Mus musculus: one gene and its partners. The protein of the gene in region 2 interacts with the protein of the main gene of each other region in a pairwise test. Links are inferred from orthologs where the notes say so. Each region holds a gene or a part of one and is shown on either strand. Other genes may lie near its edges.

Region 1 (5,223 bases), on a different chromosome or scaffold from region 2:
TATTCTGATTGTGAACACAACTGTGTTGAGTTTAAGGGGACCCAATGCCTTGTAGTCTAAAGGTATCATTATGTGGTACACAGACATGTGACAAGACACCCGTGCACATTAAAAAGAAAAATCTCAGGAATACTGTACGCAAGCATCCACACATACCCTTAGCCATAAGAGGAGATGCTGTTCTTACAATCCTAAAGTCTGTTTCCATAGACAACATACTAAGACCACTTCATCCTGCTTGCCCCGCTGAGCCTTTTTGTGGTACCCTGGATGATCTATGACCTATGCTATGATCCTCAAAGTCTCACTCTGTATTCTTACTCTCGGGGTCGTTGTTTCTGAGGCCGTTCCTCTCTGGAAGGACGGCTTTCACTGCTGTGCCTTTTCTTTGCCAGGTGCTTCTGCATCTCTTTCAAGGGATCCAGTCGGTTCTTGATCTTCTCATCTGGGCTTGGGCCTGGAGGGCAGCAGTCCTTTTGCCCTGGGGGGAGCTGGTACCAAGGAGGCTGAGTTTGGGCCTCTGCTGCACTCTGGCCCAAGTAAGTCAGGATACCTAGTGCTTTCTCTTGTCTCTCCTGCAGAGGCAAGAAAACAAAATAGTCTTTTCAGTCCCTCTGGGAGCCCTAGATGTGGCAATAGAAAAACCCAGGGCTCAAATTTCTGGAGACGGGGACTGGTAGACAGTCATTTAACAAGGGAGATCAGAAGACCATTCAGGAAGCACCAGGGGCTTATCTGCAGGAGGAGGAAGAAAGAGAGGCTGCGGCCTGTGCAGTAGTGAAGATGGGAGAAGCTTTGGGAACAGTTTAAGGAAAAACCTGCAGAAAAGCAAAGTGGAGGAGTGATTTTTCAGTGGGAGATAGCACCTTCAAAGTTCGACGAGAGAGAGGAGAGCCACAGTACAAGTCAGTTTGAAAAGCACAAATGCTGTCTGGAGATGAGTGCCTATGATCCCAACACTTGGCTCAGGAGGCCAAGGCAGGGGGATTGAGAATTGGAAAGCACCCCTGGTCTGTGTAGTTGTGACCTCATCTCAAAAATAAAATAGCTTAAGACTTTTTTTAGTCCCATGGGAAAAGGTTAGCCAGTTTAAGTGCTGTACAGCAGTAACCAACTTACAGGTAATATCTCTCAGTCATATTCTAAAAATTTTAGAGTGCTTATCACCATATCCTAACAGTCACAGCCAGTCCCCACCCCCATGATTCCACCAAAAAATGAGGCCAACTTACCTTTTCCCGTCGCTTCTCTTCCTCATGCTCTTTATTGCCTCTGGGAACTCCTTTCCTTTCTTCCAGCAGCTCCCTAAACAGGTCCACAGGGCCAGAACTTGGAGCTCCTGGGTCTGCTGCTTCCAGCTCAGGCACTGAGTTTCGTTGCCTGGCTTTCTTCCGTAGGAATTCCGTACGGGCCTATGAAGGGTTATAGGGAAGACATTCAGAACCCAGAAGTGCTGAGGATACAAGAATGGTCCATGGGCAGGGAGGGCAGTGGTAGCACACACCTTTGAACCTAGCATTCAGGAGACAGAGGCACATGGATCTCTGAATTCAAGGCCAGCATGGTCTACAGAGTGAGTTAGTTCCAGGACTACACAGAAAAATCCTGTCTTGAAAAGAGGGGGTGGGGGTGGGGCAAATATTGAGAGCAAGAAGAGATACCATTTCTAACTTGGAGTGGAGAATCGATGTTTTTAGACAGTAAACTGGGCTATCAGAGATAGTTCAGAGAAGATCCCTGACCTAAAACAGAAGGCTTCCCAGTCTCAAGTGATGCAAGGAAAACCCACTCAGGTATAGGTATAGGTGGCTTGTTCAGCCATAGAGCCCCTGCCTTGTGTGTAGTTCCAAATTCAGTCCCCAACACAAGTATGTATATACTCCCAAACTTGTAAGGTAATCAAATATTGCTTTCTGGACAAAGGATCTAAATCCAAGGTATGGCTCCAGGTCACCACTCCAAGTACAACCTGACCCCAGATAGGGATGGTCTCTGATTCACAATTCTCCCCTTTCTGCAGCCTTAGTATCTGGGATTAATTACAAGCGTCACCTTTTTGTTTGTTTGTTTTGTTTTGTTTTGTTTTTTAAGACAGGGTTTTTCTGTGTAGCCCTGGCTGTCCTGGAACTCACTTTGTAGACCAGGCTGGCCTCAGAAATCCACCTGCCTCTGCCTCCCAGGTGCTGGGATCAAAGGCGTGCGCCACCGCCACTACCCGGCTTTTTTTTTTTTTTTTAAGCCCACACTAATTCATGATCAGATTGGCCAAGGGACTTAAGTGTAAACCAAACTAATCGAGTAACTTAGAGTCTGTGATGTGTGTGTGGTCTTCAATACTAGCGTTCAAGTGGAACAGGCAAGCTGAGTTCAAGACCAGCCTGGTCTACGTAGCCAGTTCCATAACAGCCACGGCTACACAGACCCTGTTCCAAATAAAACCTCCAGATGCTCTTTTCTTGGCAAGCAATGAGGGAGGGAGAAAAGACATGCCCAACGAAGTGGACCCCGGCTTGTCCGCCCTTTGCCCTCCTTGCTGAAGCCGTTGTACTCAGAGCAAGGTGACCGCACCCCTCCAAGTTGTTCTAAGAGGGAATTTCTCAAAGCAAGCGCTCAGAAGGAAGGGAGCATACACAGAGTGGGTGATCAGTAATTAACTTGTGCGGGCAACCTATAAAGTAATCAGAATATTTGTCCAACTCTTCCAGTATGCTAGTCTCTGGTCCCTCAACACCAGTGGGGAAATCTAGGAAGGTTTCTTGGAAGTTAGCACAGGATTTTCAGAGAAACATCGTCGAACACACAGACCCGCTCCCGGCACCGAGTGATAGCTAGGCCCGCCGCGCTTCTGGGCGGTCCCCAGGCTTACCTCTTGCTGGGCGAGCAGCACCCTCCGCTCCCGCTCCTTCTCCTCCTCCCGGGCCTGGGCCTCGTCGCGCCGCACGCGGGCAACATTGTCCTTGTTCCGGACGTGCCAGCTCTTCTTCGGCAAGATATTCATGGCTCCAGTGCCGACCTCGGACTGTCAGGCCCACTCTTCAGCACTTCCGATTGGCTCGAGGATGCTCCCGCCCCATGGTTCCACCCTTGCTCGTGCATTGGTTCTGGGCCAATTGTCACGTCCCATCCTAGCCTTGTTTAGAGATTATTGGCTGAGAGCCTTCCATCTCAGCCAATCCTAAGCATTTGTAACCTGAGTTGCTCCACCCCCGGACGCTGCTTGATGAGGCTGTTGCCTGTCTATTCCTTTAAGCAGACATAACCTAGCTCTTCAGGCCGATTTGGACCTGGCCCCTCCCCAAACCCCGTCCGAGGCTTCAGAACGGGGTTTCAAAACGCAAAGCGGCCTTGACTGTTGTTTATTAATACGGTTCAATTGAGAGTGTAGCATTCGGGTGGCAGAGGGCGGGGAATTTGGTTCCAGAGATGAAAGAGTCCCATCACTTGATATGAAGTCACTGAAGCTGAGGGGCTGAAGGTTCAGCCAGACTTATCAGGAAGTTCCATTCCTTGAGCTCAGAGCCACAGCTCGCTGGGCCAGGAAGACTTTATTCTGCACTTCCTGCGGGCAAAAAGGAGCGAAAGTGAAGCACACCTTTTCATTCTTCTTTCATAGTCTCATAGAGCCCTTTCCGGGGAAATCAGCCTGGCTCACCGTCTCTATCTGGCGTTTGAGCTCAGAGATGAGGCGTCCGTAACAGTTAGCCAGGGCTACGGTATACATCATCAGGATGCTATGGAAGACAGGAATGAAAATCACTCTAGAAAAACAATCATCTTCATCATATGGCTCCTTAGAAACCAGGCTGGAGAGATGGCTCGTAACCGGAGCACTGGCTGCACTTCCAAAGGACCGGGGTTCAATTCCCAGCCCCACATGGCAGCTTACAATTGTAACTCAAGTTCGTTACTTCACACAGACAGTCACACTGTCCAAATACCAACACACATAAAAATTAAATGAATAAGTAAATTAAAGAAACCAATATCAGGATCCTCAAATCCCTTAAAACCCTTTTTGAGACTCTGAACACAAGTCTTTATCCTCTCTCTTTAGACCCAAAAGTTCAGACCCTTTAACCAGAGGTTAAACTAGAGGTTCAGGCTCCATACCTCCTCCCCCTTCATCAAATCGATAAATCCACACCCTAGCCCTCCTTTCCTCAGACCAGGAATCCAAACCCAGATGTCTTTTCTTAGACCCTAAGCATTCACACTCCGACTCTCCTGCTCTTGATTTATAGGCATCCCGGCCAGCCCCACGTCTCTGTTGTATATAGGCACCCAGCCCACCTCTCTAGCACTCAGGTGCCCAGAAACTCCTTTCTCTTTCAAACACTAAATTACACACATTCAAAGTCTGACTGCTCACCTAGAGAGGATCAGAAGAGGTACAGTAAAAGCTTGGGTTCCCAGAAAGTAGAGAAAATTCTGGGCAGTCTGAGGGAGGCTCTCAATGGCCTCAGGGATCTGGGCCCAAATGGACAGCTTCCCGCGGAACGGGCCACACAGTTTCGAAGGTGGGATCCTGTAGGGGGAGACACACTGGATTCAGTCAAGTCGAGCTAGAGTGAGAACAAACAGAAGTCTCTCGTACTTACAGGAAGATACTGTAAAGCACGGGAACTGCAGAGATCGCCAGACCCACAAGGAGAACCAGGGGGAAAAAGAAGTTTGCCGTGGATGCTCGGAAGGTGCGGGAAGCCGGTGAGTAGATGGAGAAGAGGGTTATCTGGTAGGGAGAGGCGAGGAAATGGAGGTGTAAGACTCAAGAGTCAATCCTTTGCTTTTCCCTGTTTCTTATCTTGGAGCTTTGGCCTCCTTTGGGGGCTGGGACCAGATCTCTGAGCCAATAGGACTCTGACTTCCAGCTCCCTCCTCCCATCCTCAGGGCATAGTAATCAGGGCCCTGATAACCGTCCTCCTTTCTCTAGCCCAGGACTACAGCCTCCAACACCTGTCAGCTCAGACCCTAGGCTACTCCTCAGACTCACCTTCTTCAGGCAGAACAGTATGAGGAACTTAGCAGTGTTGATCAAAGGCAGTAAAGGGCAGAAGAAGCTTCCCACCCAGACCACGGTCTGCGCATAGATGAGCCCCAGCACCTCATCTGGCACCTGGAACTCCAGGGTTCCCGACAGACGACCCAGTGCCCCAGGACAGAGGCCACAGAGTATCCTGAAGGGCAGAGTGGGACAGTCATAGGCTGCCTTTTGGCTTTCCTAA
Region 2 (4,576 bases):
TCAATGGTCTGGCACACCTCCTCCATCTGGGTGATCACTGCCTGCACACGGTCATTGCCCGCCACCAGCATCGCGATGCCATCGCTCAGCTCACTCTGTCACACACACACACAGGCCAGCTTTAGAGTCAGAAGCCCCACCCACAATGGCACCCCTCTCATCTCACCTCGATCATTGGGGACATCTGCAAAGATCTAGAGGGCTGGGGAGGTGACACTCTCTAGACACCCACCACACACCATCCTCTGGCCTGGATGCTTTGTTAGGAGAGCCACGTCTTCCATTAATTCTGGAAGAGTCTTAGGGCTTTCCACTCAGACAACACTGCTTCTGTCAATTCCTATCCTTCTGGGAGTCCAATAGGACTGTGCAGGCCTTCCCATCCTCCACCTCCCTCTTCCTGGTGCTGCCACGTTCTATTTTTTTGTTTTTTTTTTTGTTTTCACTTGTTTGTTTGTTTGTACTCTTCTTTCATTCAGTGATTCTTCTGAGAAATCCATCACTTGGTCCGTCTACTGGTTTTCCCACAGTTATTAGTTTCCACTCAGTTCTTTGTCAGATCTATGTTCAGCTTGCTTTGCTTTGGTTTTTCTTCGATCGGGCCTTTTCATGTTATCCACACTGGCTTTGAATCTGTTATCCTCTTTCCTTGGCCTCCCTAGTAGCTGAGATTACAGTGTTCGCCACCACAACAGGCCACTGCTGCTACATGGTCATTTTGCACTTTTGTTTTTTTTCAGTTCTGGGGATCTATCCGGGGCTTTGTGCTAGGCAAGTGTGCTATATCTCCAATTCTACCTTTTGTTGTTGTTGATGATGATGATGATGCTGTTGTTTTATTTCATCTTTTTTTCTATTTTTTTATTTTTTAAGATTTATTTGTTTTATGTATATGAGTACACTGTAGCTGTCTTCAGACACACCAGAAGAGAGCATCAGATCCCATTACAGATGGTTGTGAGCCACCATGTGGTTGCTGGGATTTGAACTCAGGACCTTCTGAAGAGCAGACAGTGCTCTTAACCACTGAGCTCTCCAGCCCCACTTTATTTTTCTTTAAAACAGGGTCTTTCCTTATACAGCCCAGGCTGGCTTAGAATTCTTTATGTAGTCTAGGCTGGGCACCCAGCATCCTGAGTGCTAAGACTTACAGAGTGCTCAACCATGCCTGACATTATTCTATCTTCTTAAAAACATCGTGTACATTGCAAGTTTCTGTTCTTTAATAATTCCAACATCTCAATTCCCTGAGGGTTTGAAGGGTTTCTGCTAATTGCACTCATGTGGTCCATTTCTCTGTGTATCTTCCATTGTGATTGTTGTGTTGATCTTAATCTAAGGGCCTGCATTGAAGGCATCTTCTTCCAGCTTAACATCTGCATTTGTTTCTGACAAGAACCAGGTGATATAAACGACTTCTTTGATATCTTGGGACTTCAACACAAGCTGAGGTTTGGGGAGTCTTAAATGCACCTCTACCTACACATGTTTTGCAGGTTTTGCGGCATGGCCTCTATCTCTAGCCTGTACTGAGCCAGCATTGGTCATGTGATGAATGTTATCTCTCCTGCCTGCAGGGGCTCTCTGGACCTGCCCTTCCCACCTCCCACCACCACCCCCCATCCCCACCTTCCTAGGATGCCCTTCTCCTCTCAAAGGCCAACTGGTGTGATCTTAAAAATCTCAGCATATCTGGAAGTTAGCTGTGTAATTTCACACTCTTGAGCGTATCTGGTCCTTTGGTGGATACCGTCCTGAAGTGGCTCCCGTTAGATATTAACTAGCTGATGCTGTGGCCATAACCATTGTCTTCACCTTGCCTGACCAGAGAAGGCAGTCAGGGTCAGGGAGGTCAGGTAACTGCCTCAGGGTCGTGTGCAGAGTAGAAAGCAGAGCTGGGGATTTGCCCTGACCACCCCTTACCTAAGTACAGTGAGAACTGCCCAGTCCTAAACCCTTTTCCCGACCCCTCCCTGACTAGATACCTTCTGGCGTTTGTAAATGGTGGGCAGAGGGGCCACCTCACAGTCCTTGTGGGCGCCGAAAACCTTGCAGAGAGAGCAGGTGGGCACCTCGCAGCTCAGGCAGTAGATGTTGATCTTCTCGTCCTCGTGCTCCTCACACATGAGGTGCTGTTCAGCCTTGGCGTGCAGTGGCCTGAGGATCAAGGGCAAGGCAGCAGCGACTGTCAGGGAGCCAGACTGTGACCAGTGGTCGGAAACTTACACAGCGTTCTCACTTTGGGGAAGAAACGATGCTCAAAGGAGACCTGGACCCAGGAAGAATCTATTCCAGGGGACAAAGATGTCACGCAGGACAGGAAGTCATGGGAGCTGATGAGGTCAAGAACATTGAGGTAGACTTTGGTCCCAGACCAGGAGGAGGGAGTAAGATTGAACAGTGTTTCCAGAGGCAAAGTCGGGCCTCCCTGGAGGCCTCCCCTCCTCCCTAGGTCTTCTTTCCCCTTTGTTGTCCTCCTCCCTCTGCTGGGGGGATGTCAGCTTACACAGACTAAAATCATCTGAGAGGAAGGGACTGCAATCAAAAAAATGTCTCCAAAAGATGGGGTTATAGACAGCCTGTGAGGCATTTTCTTATTTAGCCATTGATGGGGGATGTTGATGGGGGAGCCCACTGTGGGTAGGGCCATCCCTGGGCTGGTGGTCTTCGGTTCTATAAGAAAGCAGGCTGAGCAAGCCATGAGGAGCAAGCCGGTAAGCAGCACTCTTCCATGGTCTCTGCATCAGCTCCTGCCTCCGGGTTCCTGCCCTCTTTGAGTTCCTGTCCTGACTTCAGGAATGTCTATGATGTGGGAGTGTGAGGCAAACACAGTGCTCCACAATAGCAATGGAAACCCTAAACTGCCCCTCTATCCCCAAGGGTGCAGGCTCTTCCCTCCAGAGAGGCCAGCAGCCAGGCATCTATCTTACCGGGAGGACTCCTGCTTGTAGATGTCAATGATGTTCTCCACTAGCAGGTTCCGCTGCAGGCCATAGACACCATGCCTGTCCAGGACAACCTCGTGCCTACAAGATGGGCATCGGAAACGTCCTCCTGAAGACACCGTTGTGGAGCCCCGGGATTGCCACAGAGGATTAGAGGCCTGAGAAGACAGGTGACAGGACACTAGAAGTGTAAGGAGGTGTGAGGGAAGGCAAGTGGTGAGCTGACACGGGAACATTAGGTCTTCTCTGCATTTGGTGTCCCCAGACAACACTCTGACAGACGATTTCCTGCCTTGGCCTCATCCCTCAGCTCAGCTCCTTGAGTGTCCCCGCACACAGAGCCTCACTTTGGCCCAGGCCTGATCACTATCTTCAATGGAGTCCAGCATGGGGCTTTGACAGGAATGCTAACTGTAGGCAAGAGACTGGCAGTATAGCCAGTGTCCTCCAGCTTGGACCCTTATGAGCACATGTAAGGTGGTGCATATGTACATGTGCATGTATGTTTGGCAAGATAATATAATCTTGTCTCAAACTCCACGTGAATGGAAGATAACCTTGAATTCCTGATCCTTCTACCTTGACCTCCCAAGTATTGGGCTTATGGCTCTCTCTCTCTCTCTCTCTCCCTCTCTCTCTCTCTTTCTCTCTCTCTCTCCTCTCTCTCTCCTCTCTCTCTCCCTGAGACAGGGTCTTATGTAGTCCAGGCTGGCCTCAAACACTCTGTCTAACTACCTGCCTCTGTCTCCCAAATACTGAGCCATGAGAGTGCTTCTCTTTAGTCCCGGGAAGAGTCACACAACTCAAGTGCTGAACAGGGACAGAGGAATTGCAGCCAGGCTCGGGATGTGGCTCAAGTGGTAGAGGCTGCCCTAGATTTGATCCCCAGGGGCAGAGTGGCGCACTTGGGAGGTAGAGGTAGGCGGGTCTGCTCCATAGGAGGTCTAACATCATCCTCAGCTACATAGGGAGTTTGAGGGCAGCACAGGATGAATGAGACCTGTCTAAAAAAGAAAAGGAGAGAAAGAAAGGCTGGACATGGTGGCACTGGCGGCTTAGCTGAGGCTCTTTACACTGTGTGTCTTAGAGACCAGTCCCAGCTCACTCTGAAGCCACCACCATAGTGTGACCTGAAGCAACCAATCAAAATCCTCTCCTGAATTGTGGCTTAGGATGCAGAAGTCAAGCTGGCTACAGAAAAAAGGCTCATGGAATTTGACTAAGAGCTGATCTGGTGTCCATCCTGGAAACTGAGAGACAAAAACTATTAACACTGAAGGCTGGTCTACAGAGAGGTGGAAAGAATCACTTGTTGGAACTGGTAAGACAGCTCAATGATAAAGACTCTTGCCACCAAGCCGGATGCTCTGAGTTGATCCCCAAGACCCACTTTGTAGGAGAGCCCACCGACTCTACACACTCTGTGGCATTCACATACACTCGTAGGTAAATAAATGTAAAATAATAATAATAATAATAAATCATTTTTGGCGAGAAGTAGAGTTGAAAGATGGCCAGAGATGACCCTGTTCCTTAGTAAGAGATTGCCTGAGATGGCACGATCCTTGGTATAAAGACCATAGAGTTAAGCCTGCTTCTGGCTGGGGATAGCCAGGTGACTGTGTTGTGGA
Region 3 (5,119 bases), on a different chromosome or scaffold from region 2:
AGGCAGCAGAATTTCTTGTACTGTGCTCAACTTTATCTTTGAAAATATTTTTGTCTTTTTTGGTGTTTTACTCTCATAGTTATCTACCAAACTATTTAATTTTCAGAAAAATAATATTTGCCTTTGTATTTGAATTAGTTACGGAAAGTCACATTCTCCCTCCCACTTTTTCTGAAACAGCTCTGCCTTAGGAAGGATACAGAACTACCACTGGCCCCTCCTCTAGCATCCACTTTTCTTTTGAGCAAACACTGACTACTTATCAAGGTACAGTAGTGTATACCTATAATCCCAATATGCCAAACGACGGAACTGTTTCAATAACAAAAAACAATTCTCAAACACCAAAAAAACCACAAAACCCCCACTGTAGGGCACAAGACAAAACATTACAAAAATAATTGCATGTGGGAGGAATTTGTACACTAGAGGGGATGGTGACAGGGAAAGAGATGAAGAATAAACAATGGGCTACAGACATGAAATTTCAAAGAACAAACAGTCAAACACTCCACCAAACTTTTCACCTAATTTAATAGAAATAATAATAATAGCAACCACCTCAGTAGTTGCGATATATGTGCCAGGTCATTTATGTTGGGTAGTCCTAGAATAGAGTATTTTTCTTCCTTTTATAAGGTAAACTTAAACTTGGAAATTATATGTAAATTGCCTATAATGACACTTAAAATAGTTGACTAAAATTGAAACTTACTGCTCTGGTTAAAATGTTTATACATATACCACCACACAAGCTGCCAGCAGACTCACCAACTTTCAATTACACTCAATTTCTCTACGTGTCAGTGGCAACCTACATTAAAAATTAGAAGTTTTTTGTCTTCTATTACTTCTTGCATTGTCATTGAAAATTCTCTTTCTCCATTCCATTGGGTTTATTGTTATGATTATGCAGTGACTTCATAATCAATGCCTGTTTCTTCTAATGGTTTCCTCCCGGAAACTCCACTGTAGAAACTGTGAGTCACCTTTGCCTATCCCTTCACTAAATGTCTCATGTTTGGTCTCCCTACTACCTCCTAACATAAAAATATAAAGACAGAGACATTAACACTGTCTTGGAATTGTTCTTTGATGTTACACTGTAGCTGTTTTTCAAACCTTTCTTCTCCCAAATACATTTATATTATTTGAACAAAGAAACTATGTTTGATTCTTGGTTCTTCACTCAGTACAGTTAATAGTCAAACACTATGTGTGCTTTGTAAACAAAACAGTACAATATCAAATATTTATATTAAAGAATAAATGAACTAGGGACAGGGGATCCATTTAGATGGTAGAGTGCTTGCCTCCCATTCATTGAGCCCTGGCTCAATCTGTGGCAGCTCATAACAGCAATTGTGGTAGCCCACACCTGTAACTTAGAGGTGTAGGTAGGAGGATAAGAAGTTCAACATTATTCTTAGGTACATGAAAAGTTCTAAACCAAACTCTGGTTCATGAATCAAATTAGCTAAGCAGCTCACCTGTGATGTCAGGAAAACTAATACAGAGTTGCTTTGTTTTGCTCTTGATAAAGTCCATAGTAAGCTCATCTTATCTAAAATGGGTGGCAGCTTTTGCATACAAATTAGCACACATTTCTTTTGGAGCTTATTTAGATTTATTACTGTTAGGATATGATAAATATTCAAGCAGAAATTTAAGAGTATTATTTCATTGTAGATTTCAGTGACAAGTATCTACTTCAAAACAAGCTAATGCATTTTTATTTGCATATCCATTCTATAAATTGTTCTGATACTGAGGCAAATGAGATGCTGGGACAATATGCCTTCAATAGTGCCTCCACTATGGCACTAGTGGGTTTAAAAGAAAATAGCAATGCAAAGAGGAACCTGATTTTCTCTACCAAATTACAGAAGTATAATTATAATGTGCGGTCAGGGACCAGGAAGACATGGAGCTTTTCCTTAAGAGTTAAGAAGTCACTGGATTTGGACATGAAGAAGCAGGATATCATCTCCCAACCAAGCCAGACCTTGAATTCTAAGAACACAAGGACACTTGTTGAAAACAAACTAAAGGAGCATTTTCTCACATCAACCTGAATCATTTCTCTTACAAACTGCTCTAATTTCCTTTATAAAACAAAAACTCCAAGATCAGAAATGTAAGCCACAGTAAAGGCTGTAAAATGAACCAGTTTCTTTAAGAAATTTAGTAAATATTCATAATGATGGTCATGATCCGAAATAACTGTCTGCATGCAAAGCTATCTTTCAAAGTACTCTGATCTTAGCATCTTTGGTTTCATTGTACTAACAGAATCGAAATGTCTTTACAAATCCATCCTTCTCTTATGTATGGGGGTGGGAGGTTGAAGACTTAAACAATTCAGTATGAAACGCCAGCTGTGGGCTCTGGAGAATCAAGCTTATGAGTTCTTTCAGACACCTTGTACTCTGAGGTGCTGTGAGATCTCAGGGTTAAGCTGAGGTGTCATAAAGGAGGAAGGCCATCTTCACACAAGTCACAATTATGTGCAAGCCCAAATGCTGCATAACATCTGGCATAGAATCACATTATATTCCCTTTTCAAATATATTTTAAATATCACTAATGTCACCTAAATGAAGAATTATGGTTGTGGTGGCACACACCTGTAATCTCAGCTTTTGGTAGGTCGTGACTGGCATGAGTTCTGGGGTACAGATCAAGTTCCATGCCAGTTTGGGGTACAGGACAACACCTCAATGTCTCTAACAACTAACTCTCTAAAGCTGGTCCGCATGAACTGTACAGCCTTTAAACTAAGAATTCCTACAGACTTCGGGTCGGTGTGTTTGTAAGAGCCAGCGCCCAGGGGCTCAACTGAAGTGACCTCCACTGTCTGCCCCTCCGCATCCCTTCCCCACACTCTTTGACCGGAGCGGCCATGGGAGGTGCTGACTCAAACTCCCAGCCAGTTGTGGAAAGTGCTGCACTCAGTACAAAGGTGACTTGACACAAAGTTCGTAACTTAAACTATAAATGTGTCAACCGCCAAACTCGGCGTGAACGTTTAACTGGCACTCGGGCTGAGCCACAGCGCCGGGATCCTGCAGCGAGATGGGACAGCACAGCTGTCAAACTCAGTGACAGCCTCGGCGGGCCCTCGTCGCCCAGCCCGCCCCGCCTCAGGCCCGAGTGTCCGCGGCCCCGCCCGCCTGCGGCCCTCAGGCTCGAGGGCCCCGGCTGCACCTCAGGATGTTGTCGGCGTAGGTGAGCAGCAGCTTGGAGGCCTCCAGAAAGGTCTCCGGGGTGTTCTGGCATAGCTCGGCCACGGCCGGGGACGCAGAGCTCGACGAGCTGCCCAGTGTGGCCGACGCCATGGCTGCGCCGCGGCCTTCGCCACCTCGCGCACCGCGGCCCGCACTGAGCAGGCGCTGAGGAGCGCCTAGGCCGCCGCAGAGGCCTGCGGCCAGAGGGCGGGGCGAGGAGCCGAGGGGCGGGGCGTTCCGGGAGGGGCTAGGGGCGGGGCGAGCCGCGGAGAGGCCGGTTGCGAACGTTGGGGTACGGGGTACAAGGGGCCGAGCCAGTGGAGTAGATCTCGAGCTGTGGTGGCTGCTTGTGTCGGGTAGGGTCCCAGAGATAATTGCACAGCCTTCTTTTTACGGTAGATAAAAGTCTTTTGTGGAAGAAAAGACTCCAGAAGACCGAGCAAGTTTTTGTTATGTCTTTTTTTTGGGGGGTGGGGTGGGGTGGGGGCGGTTATGGGGAAGGGAAAGTGATCATGGTCTGTGGCCTAGGCTGGGCTCACACGGGAATTTACTGCAGTCTTGCCCTTTGGTTACTAGTGTCCGGCTTCAAAAACAGAGCATAGCTCAGAACTCTTCTGGGTTTCTGATTTGTGTATTTTCCGAATTCTGTTGATGAAAACTCAGTTGTTGCTCACAAGGTATGATTCTGATGCAAGGAGCATTTTGGGAGTGTCCTATGGATACTCGCATAAAACCCATATACAATAATAGAATAAAATGAGGAACAAACAAGTAAATAAAGTTTATATACACATTGTATCCTTTGACTCATACTGGCATATCCCTTACCAGTATCCTTAATTTATCTTAGAAAGGGAATCACTAACCTCCTTAGCTGATGCCCTTGTCACTGACATCAACCCTGGAAATTGGCTCCAGCACTGAGCTTCATACTCAGTCCTCATTACTTCTTTTTCTTCTTCAGAAGAGGGTTTCTCTGCATAGTTCTGGGTAAAGTGGAACTCCAGCTATAGATCAGCTTGAACTCAGATCCACCTGATCACTGCCTCCTGAGTACTGGAATTAAAGGCTTGTCTACCACTACCTGGCTTTTTTTTATTACTTTTTAATGTTGAAATGCCACTAAGAGTGCACTTGACCTTGATTTGTAGTCAGGAGTTTTCCATGCTCCACTCACCTTGAATAGCTGGAATTACATATATGAATCACTAGCACGTAGCAGGTACTTGTTGGCTTTGTGTTTTAAAGATATTTACTTATGTGACCTCGTTTGACACTTTATTATCTGTTGTTTTTTAATGTTTCTGGGCAATTTCTTCGGAGAATTTTCAAGAACTTCTGAATATTCATCTGTAAAATATACCTACATTTTTAGCACTTAGGTTTGTAGACCAACTTCAAGAATATTGTTTTCAGCTAGGCATGTTGGCAAATCCCAAAACTTGGAAGGTAGAGGCAGGAGAATCAAATATACATACATACATACATACATACATACATACATACATACATACATACATATATCACTACTACCACCACCACCAAAGACATGAAAGAAGGAGGCAGATGAGGGAAAGGGGGGTTAAAGGGGAGGGCAAAGGTGATGGAAGAGAGATAATGGATGGACTGTGGCCAAAGAACATTGTATATCTATGAGACTTTGAAAGAATAAGTCTTAGAAAGAGAATATTATGTTCAACAAAGTATGTTATTAGCTGTTGTTTAAATTTTTCAGTGGCTAACTACTAGCATTTTTTTTTCTGGTCCATAACAAAGTAATAATTATGTTTGTGGCCCAACTTCAAATGCTGTATTCCCAGCTATTTGCTGTGAGTGTTGACTGATCCTTGTAATCCCAGTATATAAAGGATACAGGCAGGCCAGCTGCTGCA
Region 4 (5,208 bases), on a different chromosome or scaffold from region 2:
TGCATATGTATCAAAAGATGGCGTAGTCAGCCATCACTGGAAAGAGAGGCCCATTGGACTTGCAAACTTTATATGCCCTAGTACAGGGGAATGCCAGGGCCAAAAAGTGGGAGTGGGTGGGTAGGGGATTGGGGGGGAGGGTATGGGGGACTTTTGGGATAGCATTGGAAATGTAAATGAGGAAAAAACCTAATAAAAATATTTTTAAAAATGGGGTAAAAAGCTAAATAGATTTTTCAACTAAAGAAATGGCTGAGAAGTACCTAAAGGAATGTTCAACTTCCTTAGTCATCAGGAAAATGAAAATCAAAATGACCCTGAGATTCCACCTGACACAAATCAGCATAGCCAAGATAAAAAATGAAGGTGACAGCAGATGCTGGCAAGGATGTGGAGAAAGAGGAACAAACACTCCTCCATTGCTGGTGAGATTGCAAGCTAGTACCACTTTAGAAATTAATCTGATGGTTCCTCAGAAAATTGGAAATAGCTCTACCTGAAGACCCAGCTACACCAATCCTGGGCATATACCCAAAAGATGCTCCAACACTATAACAAGGACATATGTTCCACTATGTTCACAGCAGCCTTATTTATAATAGCCAGAAGCTGGAAACAACCCAGATGTCCCTCAACGGAAGAATAGATACAGAAAATAAGGTACATTAACACAATGGAATACTGCCCAGCTATTAAAATGACAACTACGAACTTTGTAGGCAAATGGATGGAACTAGAAAATATAATCCTGAGTGAGGTAACCAGACCCAAAAGAACATACATGGTATGTACTCATTGGTAAGTGGATACTAACTGAAATACTCAGAATACCCATGATACAACCCACAGATCATATTAAGCTTAACAAGAAGGAAGGGCATAGCGTGTATGCATCAAACCCACTTAGAAGGAGGAACAAAATAATCACGGGAGGCAGAGGAAAGGAGGGTTCTGGGTGGGAAAGGGGCGGGGAAGGAAAGGAGGGGCCAGCGGAGGCAGTACCAGGTATTGGAAGAGACAGGAGATAGGAGAGAAGTCCATAGGCCCAGGAGAAGGAATAGAAATAAGTACCAGTGGGGGTGGGGAACTTGGGGAAGTACTAGAAAGTCCTCAACACCAGGAATTCGAGAGACTCCCAGGACCCAATGGGGATGACATTTGCCAAAATAGCCAACAGTAGGAAGATAGAACCTGAAGAGATCATCTCCAGTAGATAGACATGGCCCCCATGGGAGGGATGGGGCCAACCCCTACCCCATCTAAAAAAATTTAACTCATAATTGTCCCTATCTAAAGGAAATGCCAGGACAAAAATGGAGCAGAGGCTGAAGAAAAGGCCATCCAGAGACCTCCCCACTGTGGGATCCATTCCATCCACAGACACCAACACACTCCCCACCCCCCTTACTATTGCTGAAGCCAAGATGTGTTTGCAGACAGGAGCCTGGTATAGCTCTGAGGGGCTTTGCCAGCACCTGACTAAGAGAGATGCAGATACTCACAGCTAACCATTGAACTGAGCCTGGGGATCCTAATGGAAGAGTTAGGGGTAAAGGAGCTGAAGAGGATTGCAACCCCATAGAAAGAATAACAGTATCAATTTAACCAGAGTTCCCAGGAACTAAACTACCAACCAAAGAGTCCATGGCTCCCCCTACATATGTAGCAGAGGATTATTGCCTCATCTGGCATCAATGGGAGGGGAGGTGCTTGGTGCTGTGGAGGCTTGATACCCTAGAGAAAGTGGATGCTAGAGGACTGAGACAGGAGTGGGTGGTGGAAGGGGAAGTACCCTCTTAGAGGCAAAAGGGAGGAGGAAGGGTGGAAGGATTTGTGAAGAGGAGACTGGGAAGGGGAATAACATTTGAAAGATAAACAAAATGATTAATAAAAGGAAGTTATTAATAGCTTTCCTTTGGGACTACCAATCTTCACTAAATTTGGGTACAAATCACACACAGTATTCAGTACAAGACTAACATATATCCTCTTTTCTCTCTGTCTCAAATAGGATTTGGAATCACTTTAACCTTCATTGTCACTGTGGCTAGTTCTTTAGACTTTCCCAAAAGTTATAAATCTGACCTTTTTCCATGCCTTCAAAATAGACAGTGCCAATACAATTGACTCAGAAAAGTTATCCTCTTAAAAAGAAAGAACCATATGGCTAATTTCTAGTCAGCAGTCAACAATAGTAATACAATGCAAGAAGTTTCTTCTGCTTTCTCATCCATCTGTCAAAATTCCTAAGCTGACTTTGGTCCTTATCAAACTGTATGTAGATTTGTCTAAAATTCTTCACAGCTGACAAAGAGTTTCTTCCAAAAACTGTTTGAAATATCAAACAGACAGTCATTATGATTATTCATTATATCTATTTTGAAATCAGCCAATATTCATGATGCTTTATCTGACCAAGACTAACTGCCCACCCATCCCCTTAAAATGTGACTGAAGGAAGGCATTACTCATTCTTCCTATTTATTTTCTACTCTCTATATGCATTTAAACTTATTTAAAATTCTTTTATCATAAAACAAAAAACCCAAAACATAGTCACGGAACATTCCGTTGTTCAACTACAAATTCATCTTTTTCACTGTCACAATTAATCAGGAATAACTGTCAATAACTGTTCAATAATTTACTTCTTCCGTTTTTATAAACTCCATACATTTCAATGTTAATGAGAATTCTGTTTCCAAAACCTGGGGTCGGGGAGCACATATTCTGAGTCTCTTATGCTAAAACAGTGTTTCAATCAGTAAAGGCTGGCCTAAGCCTGGAGTTGAAAGGAAAACGTGGAGGAAACACCAACGTATTCAAATGTGTCCTACTTCCAATAAGCCGGGGCAATGACTCATGCTTCGAATTAACTGGTAAGAAGAGTCCTCGGATGTGACACTGGACACAGAAACTGAGCAATCCAGGCGGCTGAAATATCAAGAGTGCTTAAAAACTAAGGAAACTGGAAGGAAACCAATCAATCTTTTTGCGGAGAGAAATAGCAAATGGAGCCGGTCCGAGCGTTTAGAAGACAACTGCATTGGAAAAAGACCAAAATCAGACAAGGTGAGATACCGAAGTAACGAGAGAAGTGAGTGGACTATCTCCCAGGATTCTCAAGTCCTACAACTTTTAAATAACATTCCGAAACCGTAAGATTTATAAAACGAAAGTATTTCAAGAACTAAATCTCGGAAAGCGATTACCTAGCATGCAGAAGCCCTTAGTACAACCCCAGTTTTAAAAAGGAAGAAAGAAAATTCTCCAAAGCCGGGATACCTGGCGTAACACCTCGGCCCTGGCATTACGGGTCTGTTCTTTTCGCTCTTCGATACTGCTAGCACTTTCAAATCTTACACTAAACGCCTCCATAGTTGTTGCCGTCGAAAAGCAAGGACGCCGTCGGGAAACCTCGGTTTACGACTGTCGTAATTTAGAAACCGAATCTGCATTTCAAAATAGTAGGGAAGGGGCGTTACTATGCCAACAGAGCAGGCGCAGTTCCGAATGTTTCGCCTGTGAAAGGTTCAGCGGAAACTTGTAGCCTGCTGGAGAGTTGATCTTTCAGATGTACTAGGTTCGCTAAGCGCTGAGTTAATATAAACATGCGTTATTATGAGCCCTGCGATATATTAACTCATTTCTCAATAGGACTCTTAAAACACTCCAGTAAGCTAGAAGTTACTTACTTCCCCCTTCTTGCCTGACTTCCTGTGACTGTGCATCAACCTGAAGGGAACCTGATCAGAAAGTCAGAACGTGGGGGGAAAAGGGAAAAACAAAAATTGCTCTTAAGAATCAGTATAGGGGCTGGAGAGATGACTCAGTGGTTAAGAGCACTGACTGCTCTTCCAGATGTCCTGAGTTCAATTCCCAGGAACCACGTGGTGGCTCACAACCCTCTGTAATGGGATTGAACGCCCTCTTCTGGTGTGTCTGAAAACAGTGACAATGTACTCATATAAGTAAAATAAGTAATTAAAAAAAAAAGTTCAGTATTTTTCTTTGATGGGTGTCTTGAAATATATTTAAAACTGGGGTAGAGAGATGGGTCAGTGATTTAGGTGCTAACTGTTCTTGCAAAGGACCTAAGGCCACATCCAGGAACTCACAGGGATCATCAAAACCATCTCTAGCTCCATTTCCAGGAGATCTCCCTCTTCTGGCCTCCACAGGCATTGCAACTACATGATGACATAACACTCATTAAATAAATAAATAAATAAATAAATAAATAATTCTTAATTATTTGGAGGTCAAGACTTGGTGTTGCACAAGCCTGGGTGCAGGAAGAGTCCTCATCACCCAGAAGAAAGATGCCTTGGTTGTGTGGTTATCTCTCATAAAGAAAAAACAGTGACCTCTGTTGTATTTATTGCATCTTGCATAATTAAGTCTCTGTATCAAAAGACTAGCCCCATCTGTGCTTCATTTGATTCGCCCACTAGGATAGAAACAGGAAAGTTGAAATAAGCCATTTCTATCTCCTTTTGCCCATATCAACTCAGCAAATTTAAGATGACAAACTTGAATGGTTACAACCCCTTTATTTGATTCATTATGTTTGTGAGGCAGCACTCCAGTTTGTGCATCTGAAGCAAGGATAACCAGCCAATTCAGAGTTGATAGGAAGGGCTAATATACCTGCCCACGCATTACCAAAGGCACTCAAAAAGACTTGCCATGAAATATTGAAGGCTAAACGCACTGATGATTTTCGAAAACCTTGCTTCTCCGTAGGGAGAGCTTTGAAATTTCTTTTGTTGTTGTTGTTGTTGTTGTTGTTGTTGTTGTTGTTGAGAAGCAATACTCATGAGTCCTTGTACCAAAAAGAGTCAAAAGAAATAAAAATATCAAGAAACTAATAACCAGATTTTGTTTCTTTCTCTCTTATCTTCTCATCCAAAGATACAATGGTGATGAGAGGACGGACTGATATTGTTATATCTAAGGTAGAGTAGACAGTCATACCCTGGCTAATAGTGAGGAGCAGACTGTATCCACATTCATTCTACAGGGCCTGCTCTGCTCCATCTGTGTAAAGAAAACCACAGGTAAGGCCTAAGCCCTGCTAGACACTAAAATGTCCTCTGTGAGGACAGTCTAGGTGCAGACATGCTGAAATCTGGCCTTCTAGTGAGTCTAGGAATGTGTCATGCATATCAGTTAGCCTTTCACTGTGCTTTTAAAAATTGTCTGAGG

What was found.
Region 1: the proteins of Trim54 (region 2) and Leng1 interact in binary tests that used the Homo sapiens proteins (3 or more experiments, as listed by UniProt). The two-hybrid records come from large-scale screens. The link is inferred for Mus musculus from reciprocal best matches to the Homo sapiens genes TRIM54 and LENG1.
Region 3: the proteins of Trim54 (region 2) and Ngly1 interact in binary tests that used the Homo sapiens proteins (3 or more experiments, as listed by UniProt). The two-hybrid records come from large-scale screens. The link is inferred for Mus musculus from reciprocal best matches to the Homo sapiens genes TRIM54 and NGLY1.
Region 4: the proteins of Trim54 (region 2) and Cwf19l2 interact in binary tests that used the Homo sapiens proteins (3 or more experiments, as listed by UniProt). The two-hybrid records come from large-scale screens. The link is inferred for Mus musculus from reciprocal best matches to the Homo sapiens genes TRIM54 and CWF19L2.

The regions. Positions count from the first base shown.
Region 1 is NC_000073.6:3,662,450-3,667,672, forward strand, and holds the start of Leng1 (leukocyte receptor cluster member 1 homolog), read right to left. Parts: upstream 3,392-5,223; 5' UTR 2,999-3,391; coding exon 2,867-2,998; intron 1,413-2,866; coding exon 1,233-1,412; intron 576-1,232; coding exon 322-575; intron 1-321. Other genes in the region: Tmc4 (transmembrane channel-like protein 4), read right to left, coding at 3,491-3,559, 3,653-3,731, 4,370-4,525, 4,599-4,729, 4,992-5,175.
Region 2 is NC_000071.6:31,129,569-31,134,144, reverse strand, and holds part of Trim54 (tripartite motif-containing protein 54), read right to left. Parts: intron 3,104-4,576; coding exon 2,931-3,103; intron 2,158-2,930; coding exon 1,986-2,157; intron 96-1,985; coding exon 1-95. UniProt on the Homo sapiens protein: May bind and stabilize microtubules during myotubes formation.
Region 3 is NC_000080.6:16,247,586-16,252,704, reverse strand, and holds the start of Ngly1 (peptide-N(4)-(N-acetyl-beta-glucosaminyl)asparagine amidase), read right to left. Parts: upstream 3,392-5,119; 5' UTR 3,339-3,391; coding exon 3,208-3,338; coding exon of another isoform or gene 3,206-3,207; exon of another isoform or gene 2,897-3,205; intron 1-2,896. UniProt on the Homo sapiens protein: Specifically deglycosylates the denatured form of N-linked glycoproteins in the cytoplasm and assists their proteasome-mediated degradation. Cleaves the beta-aspartyl-glucosamine (GlcNAc) of the glycan and the amide side chain of Asn, converting Asn to Asp.
Region 4 is NC_000075.6:3,402,268-3,407,475, reverse strand, and holds the start of Cwf19l2 (CWF19-like protein 2), read right to left. Parts: upstream 3,392-5,208; 5' UTR 3,379-3,391; coding exon 3,286-3,378; intron 1-3,285.